3 linked regions of the Rattus norvegicus genome follow. The protein of the gene in region 1 interacts with the protein of each later gene in a biochemical or structural test. Links are inferred from orthologs where the notes say so. Each region holds a gene or a part of one and is shown on either strand. Other genes may lie near its edges. The genes, in order: Mapk14, Dusp10 and Mef2a.

The links.
Region 2: the proteins of Mapk14 (region 1) and Dusp10 form a complex in vitro, tested with the Homo sapiens proteins (2 studies listed by BioGRID, with this or other methods). The link is inferred for Rattus norvegicus from reciprocal best matches to the Homo sapiens genes MAPK14 and DUSP10.
Region 3: of the proteins of Mapk14 (region 1) and Mef2a, one has a biochemical effect on the other in vitro, tested with the Homo sapiens proteins (2 studies listed by BioGRID). The link is inferred for Rattus norvegicus from reciprocal best matches to the Homo sapiens genes MAPK14 and MEF2A.

The regions. Positions count from the first base shown.
Region 1 is NC_086038.1:6,749,839-6,754,158, forward strand, and holds the start of Mapk14 (mitogen-activated protein kinase 14), read left to right. Parts: upstream 1-1,520; 5' UTR 1,521-1,840; coding exon 1,841-1,956; intron 1,957-4,320. UniProt on the Homo sapiens protein: Serine/threonine kinase which acts as an essential component of the MAP kinase signal transduction pathway.
Region 2 is NC_086031.1:98,144,519-98,148,710, reverse strand, and holds the start of Dusp10 (dual specificity protein phosphatase 10), read right to left. Parts: upstream 2,819-4,192; 5' UTR 2,704-2,818; intron 670-2,703; 5' UTR 629-669; coding exon 1-628. UniProt on the Homo sapiens protein: Protein phosphatase involved in the inactivation of MAP kinases. Has a specificity for the MAPK11/MAPK12/MAPK13/MAPK14 subfamily. It preferably dephosphorylates p38.
Region 3 is NC_086019.1:130,263,159-130,266,695, reverse strand, and holds part of Mef2a (myocyte-specific enhancer factor 2A), read left to right. Parts: intron 1-3,003; coding exon 3,004-3,130; intron 3,131-3,537. UniProt on the Homo sapiens protein: Transcriptional activator which binds specifically to the MEF2 element, 5'-YTA[AT](4)TAR-3', found in numerous muscle-specific genes. Also involved in the activation of numerous growth factor- and stress-induced genes.

The sequences.
Region 1 (4,320 bases):
GGGGCCTAAGGAAGCTCAACAGACTTGTCTTAATAAATGTCCGAAGCCCTCGTCGTTTCCCCAAACTTCCAAAGGCGTGGATTCTTTAAATTTCTCATGAATTATGTCTTTAAAATCCTCTCAATTTAAGTTCTTTTTTTTTTTTCTTCTTTTTTTTTTTTTTTTTAAAGATTTATTTAGCCGTCTTCAGGCACACCAGAAGAGGGCATCAGATCTCATTACAGATGGTTGTGAGCCACCATGTGGTTGTTGGGAATTGAACTCAGGACCTCTGGAAGAGCAGTCAGTGCTCTTAACCACCGAGCCATCTCTCCAGCTCCCTCAATTTAAGTTCTTAAAATTCTCCCAATTTTTCCTTTAAATTTCTAAATTTTGGATGGTTCTAAATTGGCAGGAGTCGGTCTCGAACCGGAGTCATGGGCTTTGGGGTGTTCCAGATATGGTCTCATAACAGCCCAGGCAGGTCTCTTAACTACTCACTATATAGCAGAGGCTGGTCTCCTGGTCTTTCCAAACGCTGGAATTACAGGCTACGTAAATCTAAATAAATACATCAAATATATGAGAAGGGTCTCTTGGTCTTTCCAGATGCTAGAATCACAGGCTGTATAAATCTAAATAATTCAGTAAATAAATAAAATCAAATACATGAGACGGGTCTCCTGGTCTTTCCAAACGCTGGCATTACAGGATGTGTACATCTAAATAAGTAAAATAAATGAGAAACTTTCCTGAAATGGAATGACCTACCTGCAGAGAGAGAGAGAGAGAGAGAGAGAGAGAGAGAGTGTGTTTCCCTTCCAGTCATGGGTATCGAACCCAGGGCCTTGCAAACGCAGGTCTCAGCCTCAAAGTGGCCATTCCTGACGTCCACCTCTGACCTTGTGCATCGGACTCCCTAGTGGGTCCCTGGAACCTCCTCCTACACCTTCCACGGTGGTTCTTCTGGTGAGGACATTTAGAAGCTGCTAGGAGCGTCCGGCGGGAGGGAGAGCCTGGGCTTTGAGACCGGGTTAATGTTTGCCTGGGTGGGGAGGGGGACAGGTTTCATCAGCGTCCCGAGATAAGCCACGCGTCCTTGAGCGGATGGGAACGCAACAGCTTTCTGGACAGGGCCAGTCTGCTCTTGCAAATCTTTCTTGGAAATCGCCGGCTCCGGTGAGCAGGTGGCTCGGAGCTCAAAGACCGCTTGGCTCTCTTTCCCCCCCCCGACGCCGTCCCAGTGGTTTTCCGCCACGGCGCCGGGCATTCGCCGGTCCGACCACAGAGAGGCGCGCGCGGCCTACGCTGCGGTCCGCCCCCACCCTCGGCGCCCCCCGGGAGCAGAGTCTCCCCTAGAGTTCCTGCCTCAGCTCCCGGAGCCGTGTCTCTCTTCTCGCGAGATCTTCCCGTCCCGCGCGCTCTTCTCGAGCACCCCCGCCCCACGGGCAGGTTCCATATTGGGTAAGATCTCGGCTCGCGGAGCTGTTCTCGCGAGAGTCCTGCTAGAGCCTCCCCGGCCGCTGCCTGCGGGGAGAGGGGGGAGATCGCGGCCACTGGAGCCCGAGCGGGCGCTAGAGCGCGAGCGGCTGTCGCGCAGCGTCGGCGTGCGCTCCCCAGGGAGCGGCTGCAAGGGGACCGCGGCGGGAGCTGCGTCGAACCGTGCAGCCGGCTCCCGCTCGTTGCCGAGGCTCGTAGGTGCCGCCGCGGCTGACAGGAGCCGTGGGTCGCAGCCTCCACACCTGCGCGGGCGCGGGGTCGGGTCTGCCGCGGGCGAGCGAGAGGGCGCAGAGGAGAGCGTGCGGCTGCAGGCAGGGGCCCTCGCTCGGCCACCTCGTCGCCGCGCTGCCGCCGCTGGAAGATGTCGCAGGAGAGGCCCACGTTCTACCGGCAGGAGCTGAACAAGACCGTCTGGGAGGTGCCCGAGCGATACCAGAACCTGTCCCCGGTGGGCTCGGGAGCCTACGGCTCGGTGTGGTGAGTGTCGCCGGGCTTGGGGTTGGGGGCGGGGGTGGGAGGGAACGTGGTGGAGCAAGCAGGGTGGCCCTGCATGCCTGAGCGCCAGGCCTGTCCCCACAGCTCAGCGATGCGCCCAGCGGCAGGAATTCTCCTGCGGGCGTGTCTTGGGGGTGCAGGGGGCAGTTGGAGCGGGACGTGTCCTGCACCCCTCGCCCTGCACACTCAGGTGGGTGGGGAACCGTGTGCGGGATCGGGTCAGCCGTGGGCGCGGTGTGATGGGGCTCCACCCTGTGCTCTCCATGCTCGCAAGATCGTTCCTCCCGGGGGTCCCTCTGCAGCCGTGCGGCCTCTGGACCCTGCCTCCGGGTACCGCCACTTGGCACGCAGGAGCCCTGCCCCGGGGAGCGGGCGAGCTGGGCGCAGCTCCGGCGAGGAGCAGTAGGTCAAAGCCTGACCCGGGGACTGCGGTCACCTGAACGAAACTTGCAAGAAAAAGCGCTCCCTTTCCCGGAATTTTTTTTTCTCTTTCTCAGTTTTTCCCTCCCATTTAACCATTTTTGCAAGCTTCGGTCGAAAAACCCAGAATCGGGAAACGTTCTTTTGGGATTCGCACCTGAATTAGCAGCACCCCGAAGGGCTTAAAATAATACCGACTTTATCTCGGGGACCGCGGGGTGCCAGCTTGCCGTGGTGTGTTTCCGATTCGGTTGAAAGCGTATTTCCTTTTCGGGGAGGGAGGGTGGCAGTGCCTGCAAGGACGCTCCAGCTCTCAGCTTAGTCACACAGCGCTGCTCAGTTCAGTATTGTTTGACAAAACCAGTTTTCCATACGGAGCCAGAGTGGTTCTGATCTGTTGGGCGCCCCTCAAAGATCAAAAAGGTGGGACCGAGTGCTGGAGTTGTAAATGGTTTTTAATTGGGATGCTTTTCTTTCTTTAAGCCCCTTAGAAGATTTGCAGGGGGCTTTAAGCTTGTAAGCACCGAGGCACATGGGGGTTTTTCGGGAGAACCTGGCCGCAGAAAACGATGCCTTTCAGCTTTCATTAACACTTCGGCTTTTTGTTTGAGTTCGTTTGAGACAGAGTCTCACTATGGATGGCCCTGTCTGGCCTGAGCCTCAGTGGCTAGACCAAAGCCTGGCCTGGAACTCAACAAATTTTGTCTCCTGCCAGCGCTGAGAATAAAGGCATTTGCTACCACACAAGGCCCTGGGAGCAGGTTTCAGATTAAATTTATACAGTCAAAGGTCCACTCCAGAAATGTCAGGGACTTTCAAGGATTCATATAGTCTCATTTATTGGGACTCAGTGTCAGTTTAGACCTCCCTATCTGAAAGTAAAGACCAGACTCAACAGACTAGACTCTTCTGCGTTTTAGTGATTTATATTCACGTTTCCCTGAAAGAGCCTGTGAAATGTTTTTTTTCCCCCCCTTTGGAACAAATTCTAGGCTTCTGGATGTGTTAATCTTTAAGTATGAATCCTGTGTTACTTAAAGTCACATCGTGAATTTCCTGTTTGGTAGAATCTTCCTGGTAATTGCGATTGTGCAACCATGTCCGGCAACAGATCATATTGCGTTTGCTCGTTGGAGCTGCCTAGGCTGTGCTGCTGATAGCACCAGCCCTGACCTCTTTCCCCCAAGTTTACAGACTGGCAGTTTGCATTTTAAAGGGGATGTCAATAATTTACATCCCGTGTTTGTGATTGGTTTGTTTCTCTAGTACTCACCAGCTCCCTCAGTATCTCCAGTCTTCATTGCTCACTGTTACAGCATCAGGCTTTTGTCCCCATTTGGATGCTTGGGAAGGATGGAGCAGAACTCAGGGCTTCTGGGAGAGGGAACTTGCAGGGTTTCCTAGGGCCACTGCTGCCCTGGCAGAAGAGCCAGCTTTACAGTGACTTGCCACAGTGAAACCAACACCACTTCCTCTAGTGCTGTTACTTTCTTGCAATGGGATTGAGCACAGCCTCCCAATGAGATAGACTTCTACCAAACAGTTTCTTTTTTTTTTTTTTGGTTCTTTTTTTCGGAGCTGGGGACCGAACCCAGGGCCTTGCGCTTCCTAGGTAAGCGCTCTACCACTGAGCTAAATCCCCAGCCCTTACCAAACAGTTTCTTGAACATAGGTAGTGCTGGCCTAGTGATGTAACCATGGCACAGTCCTGGCCTTACACTGCAGCAGTGCACAGCACAAAGCAGGTCGCTTGAAATAAGGGTCAAAGAGGTCTGCAGCAAAAAAAAACAAAACAAAAAAGAAAAAACCCTGCTTTCAGCCCTGCCTTCTAGTCTGTCAGTTCCTTGCCTGTCTTCCAGAGACACAGACATTTTTTTTTTAAATTTTTAACATTTATTTATTTATTATGTATACATCATACAGCTT
Region 2 (4,192 bases), on another chromosome or scaffold:
TCTTGCCCTGTTGCAGCCTCCGCCGGCTGATCTTATCTGCACAGTTAATGTGGACAGCTCCTTGGATGTGACTCTTGTTGTACTCCATGAAAGGCCTGCAGTCAATGATGACAGGACCCTGGCTGGGCAGGTGACTCTTGCTGCATTTGGTCATCTTCTTCGCCAGGTCATTGGGGTAGATGATTTTGATGCTGGCTAGCTGCTTGGGAGTCCCTGACACGGGGCTGCCCACCCCGCCCGATGGACTTAAAGAGCCTATATTTTCATTGTTGTTGACCATCTGGTTAGCAGGGCAGGTGGTCGAGGTTCCTATGGCAGTGGTGGCAGTGCCTGCAGCGATGGCTTGAGTCTGGGCCTGATGATCCTTGTCGTAGGTTGCCACAGTGCAGCAGCTAGTGCTGCTGCATCCGCAATTCAGGGAGCGGGCAGAGCCGCTGGATGAGGGCATATACGTCAGATTCGCAGCCTTGAGGGTCACGACGGCTGTGGCAATGACAGGAGTGTGGTTATTGCTGCCTGGGCTGGCAGAGCCCAGGTAGCTGGAGTCTAAACAAAGGTTGAGATCCTGAGGTCGGACAGGCCTAGACAGTGCTACTACTACCCTGTCGTCTAAAGGGGACGGAGGCATGAGTAGGCTGAAGACTGGCGATTCAAGAAGAACTCAAGAGTCTGTGGAGAAGAGGAAGAAAGAAAGAACAGTCACATGACACGGGCGCCAGTCTCATCCAATCCCCGGGCTAAAAATCCTCTTTGATATATTCAGAGAGGATGCATGCCTGAGGGACCCCATCCATCCTGATGCTAAGCCAAAGTTTAAAGTCGGACGTGACGTCAGAAATGGTTAAGAGACCTACTTTCGTGGGCCTGCATCGAAGTTCAGCCTCAGTGAAGGTAAAAGCGCAGAGGACCGAAAGCACTAAAGGCAGACGGGGAGGCTCTTAGGTTTCTTCTGAGCCTCCTCTCCTGCACAGAAGTCCACTTGACCTGTGATGGACGAATCTGTCCACCCTGGCATCTACTGTATTCCTTTCCCCAGAGCCAAGGCAGAGAGACAGGCAAGAGCATTTTCAGAGCTCACACAGAGATGCACAGAAACGCACTACGTTTACATGAGGGGCTGGATGTCAACCTTCTGCAAATCTGAAGGAATGTGTCTTCCTATGTCAATCTCCATGGCTAGGAGCTAATCGTGCCTTCCATTCTGGCGAGTCCTTTGAAAAGCTCAACATCGTCCTATTCAAAGCTTACACTAGCCTCTGCCAAATCAAATCAAGCTGCATGCTCCCCTTATACTATGAATAACTGTCCAAAAACCAAGTGGCCAAGGGAGTCAGGTCTGCGAACTCCAACCGAAACTGGCCCATGACCCATTCCTCTGTGACCCCACTTGTCCTTACCCCTCTCTGTGCTGTGCCCCTATGCAAAAAGGGGGGGCCCTTGAGTTTCACCTGGGTAGTGCAGTGCAGACTTTACATCTCCATGGGAGTGGGAACTTGTAAAAAATGTCTCAGTCCTGTACTGATATTCTTCTTGGAAACAGCAAAGATGAGAGCCACCTCACTTGTCCCTTTACTACAGACAGGCTAATTGGGAAGCGAGGAAGTAGTGCCCACAGGGGTTACCTCTGCCTCCTCCAAGGGTGCCTGCAATGGGTCACTTACCTCCTCCCCCCAGGCAGAAGGCCACTCTATAACATAGCAATTCTGACTCGTCTAATAGAGAAATCAAACCCCAAGCAAAAGCCACTCATCTAAAGGAACTTTAAGAGCTGTCTGGAAAAACATCAAGAATCATCGGTCTATTCATGACCGGCACTGTTCTCTGAGACCGAGCCAAATTGTCACCAGCGAAAATCCACACACGCGCACCCAGGAGCACGTACCCACCCGTGTAGGCATATCCCCACTGACTCCGGTTTCTCTCACCCACCTTTGGTTGGGAGCAAAGGATCCCTCCCTCCCTCTTTCCCTGCCTCCTTTGCGTAGTATTTTTTTTTTTCATAGCGAGTACTATTCCAGAAACTGTAACTGTGTCTCGGCTGGACCATAAATGCAGACAAAGTCTTTGCTATTGTGCTACCTGGTAGGGACATCCAGGATCAGTAGCCCATTCCCTAGGAGGGGGACCCAGGAACGACTTTCCAGAGACACAGGCTGGGACCCGTACCTCTACACTGTGCTGCTCGCACACAGGCAGAGTGCACGGAGATCTGCATCCTTGCAGCAGATAGCTCCAAACCCATCCGGTTTGGCCCGGGAAACCTCCCACAAAAAAATAGCACTACCCCCCTACCCGCTTTCTTGCTAATCTCCCTTCCATCACTAACATGGACTGAAGAAAAAATTCCCCACTCCTGGGGTACGTAGCATCTCTCTTCCATGCAACCACAGAGCATCAGCAAAGCCTTGGGCTTTGAAAACTGCCATAAAGCACCTTAACCAAACCAAAACTCATTTCCCCCTTCATTCCAGGGCAAACAGACCCAAAAACCTAAATCTTAGGATCTTCCTTGCCTGATGTGGGTCTGTCTCTGTTTCTGTCTATCTCTCTCTGTCTCAGTCCCCTCTCTCTCTCTCTCTCTCTCTCTCTCTCTCTCTCTCTCTCACACACACACACACACACACACACACACACACACACACACACACACACACAAAACCTTCCGCCCTCCAGCTCTGAGTGACCGTAATGTCTTCCACTTACTTCATCAATAAGCGTAGCCCTCTACCATCTGGCGCCCGCTTCAGCTATGCGCTCGCGCAGTGCGCCCCCATTCACTCAGCTTCATTGATCCCCAGCAGCAACACAGAGTTACTTTCTCTTTTGCTACAGCGTAAATGTAAGCTTTGGAGGAGGCGGGGCTGACTCCGAGCGACAGCACAATGCGCCAGTGAGGACCCAGAGACAGCCGCCCGCTACATCACAGTGGTCTCTGACCAATAGGAGGCCAAGGAGGGTGGAGAAAGGGGCGAGGCCTCGCCTTGGGATGGAGGCCGGCTCGGACGCGCTTGTGGGTTTGGTGTGTTAGAACGCGGGTGGTGATGTCATTGGCAACCAATCAAAAACTTAAAAGTGCTAGCCCGGGCCCGCTTGGAGCAGCGGCTCTCTATTTACATGTAAACCTAGGCAGCTGGACGCGGTTAACCCTTCCCGGGACTGAAGTGTCAATGGCTTGCTCTGGTCGCTCTGGCTGAAACTGGTTCTTTTGACCCTTCCCTGCCCCCTGGTGCGGACACAGCCTCACGGGGTCTCCTTTCCACCTTTTGATTCCAGGCAGAGTGCCCGTCCAACTTTCCCGAGGCCAGAGACGACTCGAAACAGGGTCCCTCCATGGCTGTAGCTGCGCCGCGCGGGACGTGAGCGTGCACAGGGCCGGCCTCCCCGTAGCCCCGCTTGGCCCGGCCCGCAGATGTCGCTGCCCCTCCGGCTACCTTACTGCTCTCCTGCGCGGCGGCTGCGCGCGGTGCTTCTGTTCCCCTACTTCTGTGCCCCTGTCACTCCTCCGCCGTCCCCAGTCTGTTCTCAGGAGCCCGACTCCGAACCCGAAAGCTGCACCCCAGAGAACTACACGGAGGAGGACGCCTGGCTCTGTGCGGGCAGCCAGTGGGGGCCCGTGCTGAGCGGCAGCGTGGGCGCCGTCCCGCAGAGCTGGGCGTGGCCGGGCCCTCCGAACTCTCCTCAAACCCCTCAGCCCCGGCACCGACCTCCTCCTCCCACCCCAGTCTCAGTGTCCTCCTCGGCCGCCTCCCCTGCCGTGTTGTTTTGGAACCCGCAATACATCCGTCCCCCGGTGCTGGGCCGCCCCCGGCCCCCAGTGGCGCAGGGCCCTCGGCGAGCCAAGGAGCGCCAGGCTGGAACAGCAAGCGCTGGAGGGAAGGAGCCGGAGCTCGGGGTGTACAGCCAGAATGAGCGGCGGTTGAGGAGCATGGAAGGGCCCACGCCAGCTCTCCCGGCTCCCCGAACTTTGTCCATCAGAGGAGTAGATGGTCGTGGCATGTGTCCGCTGAAGAGAAGTGGGAAGCTGGGCAAGCCTGCCAGCGCCTTGCCAGAAAAGTATCAGGGAAGGTGCAAAAGAGTGACTCTGGAATTCAAAGGAGTGGAAAAGCCCAGATGAACTGTGACGAAGTTGCATCAAAGAATCCTAAAGCAATAGAGCTTTTTATACCCTACCCCCTTCTAGCTCAGAGAAGAC
Region 3 (3,537 bases), on another chromosome or scaffold:
GGCAGGCAGATCTCTGAGTTCAAGGCTAGCTGTTCTACAGAGTGAGTTCCAAAACAGCCAGGGCTTTACAGAGAACCCCCTGGTCTTGAAGCGCACACACACACACACACACACACACACACACACACACACACACACACAAAGAGAGACGAGAGAGACACAGATACAGACAGACAGACACAGAGAGAGATAAGGAGGATCCCAGTGATGGGGAGGGATGCTGCTAGCCTAGCCAGATGGCCCATATGAAGAACTGGTGTACAGCAGAGAGTTCACTATTGGGTCTATCATTCTAAGACAGGTAGAAAGCACATGCAGTTTCACTTTCTCCCCATTTGGGCCAAATTCCTGTGGCTCTGGGAAAGGAAGGAAGGAAGGAAGGATGGATGGACGGACGGACGGACGGACGGAGGAAAAAAAAGAAAGAACACCTTTTCTGTCATCAGAAGGCTGCATCGCGGGGCTGGAGAGATGGCTCAGTGGTTAAGAGCACTGACTGCTCTACCAGAGGTCCTGAGTTCAATTCCTAGCAACCACATGGTGGCTCACAACCATCTGTAATGAGATCTGATGCCCTCTTCTGGTGTGTCTGAAGAGAGTGACAGGGTACTCACTTATAAATAAAATCTTAAAAAAAAAAAAAAAAAGAGTCTCCTTTATGACGCTCAGAAGTGGACTGTGGCGGAGATCACCTAATTTTAGACTTCAGAGTAAATGCTTTGGCATCAGTACTAAAACTGCTATGTGGGGCTACCTGGAGGGTCAAGCAGTTTATACCTCTGATTGGCACTTTAACTCCAGGGCTAGTTCTTTCCAAACAACTTGTAATGGTCTTGTTGGCAAAGCCTAGGGGATGACCTTTACCTTCCCAGGTACCTGTATGAAAACAAACTGCTCCAGTCTATCAGATGCTTAGTAGCCTGTGAATTGTAGCCCATTGTTTGTCTTGCACAGAACTAATTTCAGAAAAGACCAGAGCTTGAACACTTAGAGAAATTCTGTTCGAGTTCATCAGTTACTTGCTGCAGAAGAGATTTTGAGTTAAGGGCAGATCTTTTTTACAGATGAGGAGCAGACACAGCTTAGTTGGTCAGCATTTGTAGGAAAGTTCTGCACTGTTAGACTTTCTAGTTTGTGCTGAGGTTGAGAAGCTAGGAAAGAAGGGAGCTAGAGAGGTTGGGTACACAGATGCGTGTCGCTGAGGAGGCCCAGTGTGGATTGAGTATCAGAGTTAGACTGCAGTATTCTGTGTGCCTCATTGCATGCCTTCCAGCATTCTCAAAATTCTACTGTGATACTACTCGTTTTTAAAAACACCATTAGTTTCTAAAGAATGTATATATGTATAAGCACTTTTTAATATTGCATACATATATTTTTACCGAGTCTCCAAGGAATTACTGAAACACATAAAAAGTGGGTGGAGTCGGGCGCCCTTAAAATCATGACTAAGCATGAGTCTCATTCCATCTGAGGTCACTGTCATTCTCCTCCCTAGAATAGCTGTTTCCTTTTGTGTTTTCTCTTTTCCCATATTATTGTGTATATTTTTTTTTTCTGTAGATTCTTAGTGTCAAGTCCACCATGCCAGGCAGTAAGTAAAGATATGAATAAAGGAGCAACTTTCAAAAATAGCCTGTGGTCTCATGGACACTTCCTCATGCCCTCAGTAACATCACTCCAGCTTTAAAAAGCATTAGCACGTCTGACAGGTGCCCTGGCAGGCCCTGTAAATAAAGTGTGTAGTCTTGTAGTGGAACTGAGGTCTGCCATAAGAAAGACCCTTAGCACTGGGAAAGTCCTGTTCCTATTGTGTCAGCACGGACATAGGCAGGAGGCCACCAGCCAGAGCAAGGTGAGTGTCACACGAAGGGCAGTGAGAGTTGAGCTGGAAGAGTGGGATTTGTTGGGTATGTTGCAGAGCATTACGATCATATTGTTGTTTTCAGACATGTCAGTTTTGGCTCTAATGGCCGAGTGGTCATAGGAGATGGCTCTTTGGTTAAGACTTGGTGCTAGTCTTGCAGAGGATCCATGTTTGGACCCCTCACCCACTTTAGGCAGCTTATAACTGCCTGTAACTCCAGCTCCAGGGGAGTCCAGCACCCTCTTCTGTCCTCTGTGGGAACCTTTACTCATGTGTACAGATACCCAGACACATAACTAAAATGATAAAAACAAGTCTTGTCTTTTAAGTGAGTGCCAATAGGTCGTAGAAAGGTTGTTTAGTGGTCCAAGTAATGGTTTACTGGTGGCTTAGACCAGAGTATTAGATTACATTGGAACCTCCTCAAGCTAAAGGGACAGCAAGGTAGAATTGACTAGAGTTGTTGATAGCTCAGGTTAAGCATGCAGCAGAGAAATAATGTGAACACTCGGTTTTTCTTGGCATGAGCCATTGGGTATGTTGGTGCAACTTATCAAGAAAGGAAAGACAGCTTTGAGAACATGAGTTCAGTTTGGGTTATGCCAGAATTAAGGTGTTTATGGAGATGGTCAAGTGGGTCTCTGGACAGGCCAAGAAGCCAAGAGAGAATTATGGACTGGAAGGGTTACTAGAGTAGACATCAGGCTAGAGGACCAACTGCTTTAAACACCTTTTTTGAAACATGAGAAAAAAGTTAAAAGTAGCAGTCTCTGCCTCCTTTCTTCAGAACTAAATGGAAACCCTGTGTTGATGATGAATTAAAGTAAGTACATGTAAGCAGTATCTAACAACCTAAGCCTTGGTCACAGTAATTGTGACTGAAGCATTCGTAGAAAATGACTTGTATGTCATAGAAAGATGTTCATGAATTTGAGGTGACATGTGCAGTCGGGGAGCTCCTGAAGCAAATGTAGTTGATTGTGTTGTGTATTCGTTCAGCAAGAAATGGTTCGTCCTTCCTGTCCTGCTGAGCATCAACGCCTGTCAATGCAGGTTCAATACAGTGTTCCAGTGTCTATCTTTTCCCAAGGGCCAGGTATATTTATCTGTGTAGTAATAATATCCTTCTTTTGTAGATTACTCATTGACCAGCGCTGACCTGTCCGCCCTGCAAGGCTTTACTTCCCCTGGAATGCTGTCTCTGGGGCAGGCTTCAGCCTGGCAGCAGCACCATCTAGGACAAGCGGCCCTCAGCTCTCTAGTGTGAGTAACTGGGAATTTTCCTGATCTTTTGCACTTGGCCTGCCCATACTTGTGTCAGTCCTCTTTGACTTTGTGGGCTGTCAGGAACAAGCCCTGCCATGACCCTCGCTTATGTTCACACAAGGGTCAGGAGAGAGTGTCTTCTTAACAGAGCTCTAGATAGCAGTGTGGGTGCTGAGGAACCAGGCGCTCCTTGAAGGGATCTGTGGAGCAAAACTTTTCTTATTAAATGTGGAGAGTCTCTGATGGTACCAAGGGAACCCTACAATGCAGATGGCACCTGCAGGCTCCCTTCTCACTCACTGCCAGATGAATAAGCCATTGTGTCCCAGCATGATCTCTGAGTTTGCTTTCTGAGGAAAGGGAGCTGAAAACATTTAGGCTCATCTGCATTCTCTCCTTTGCTT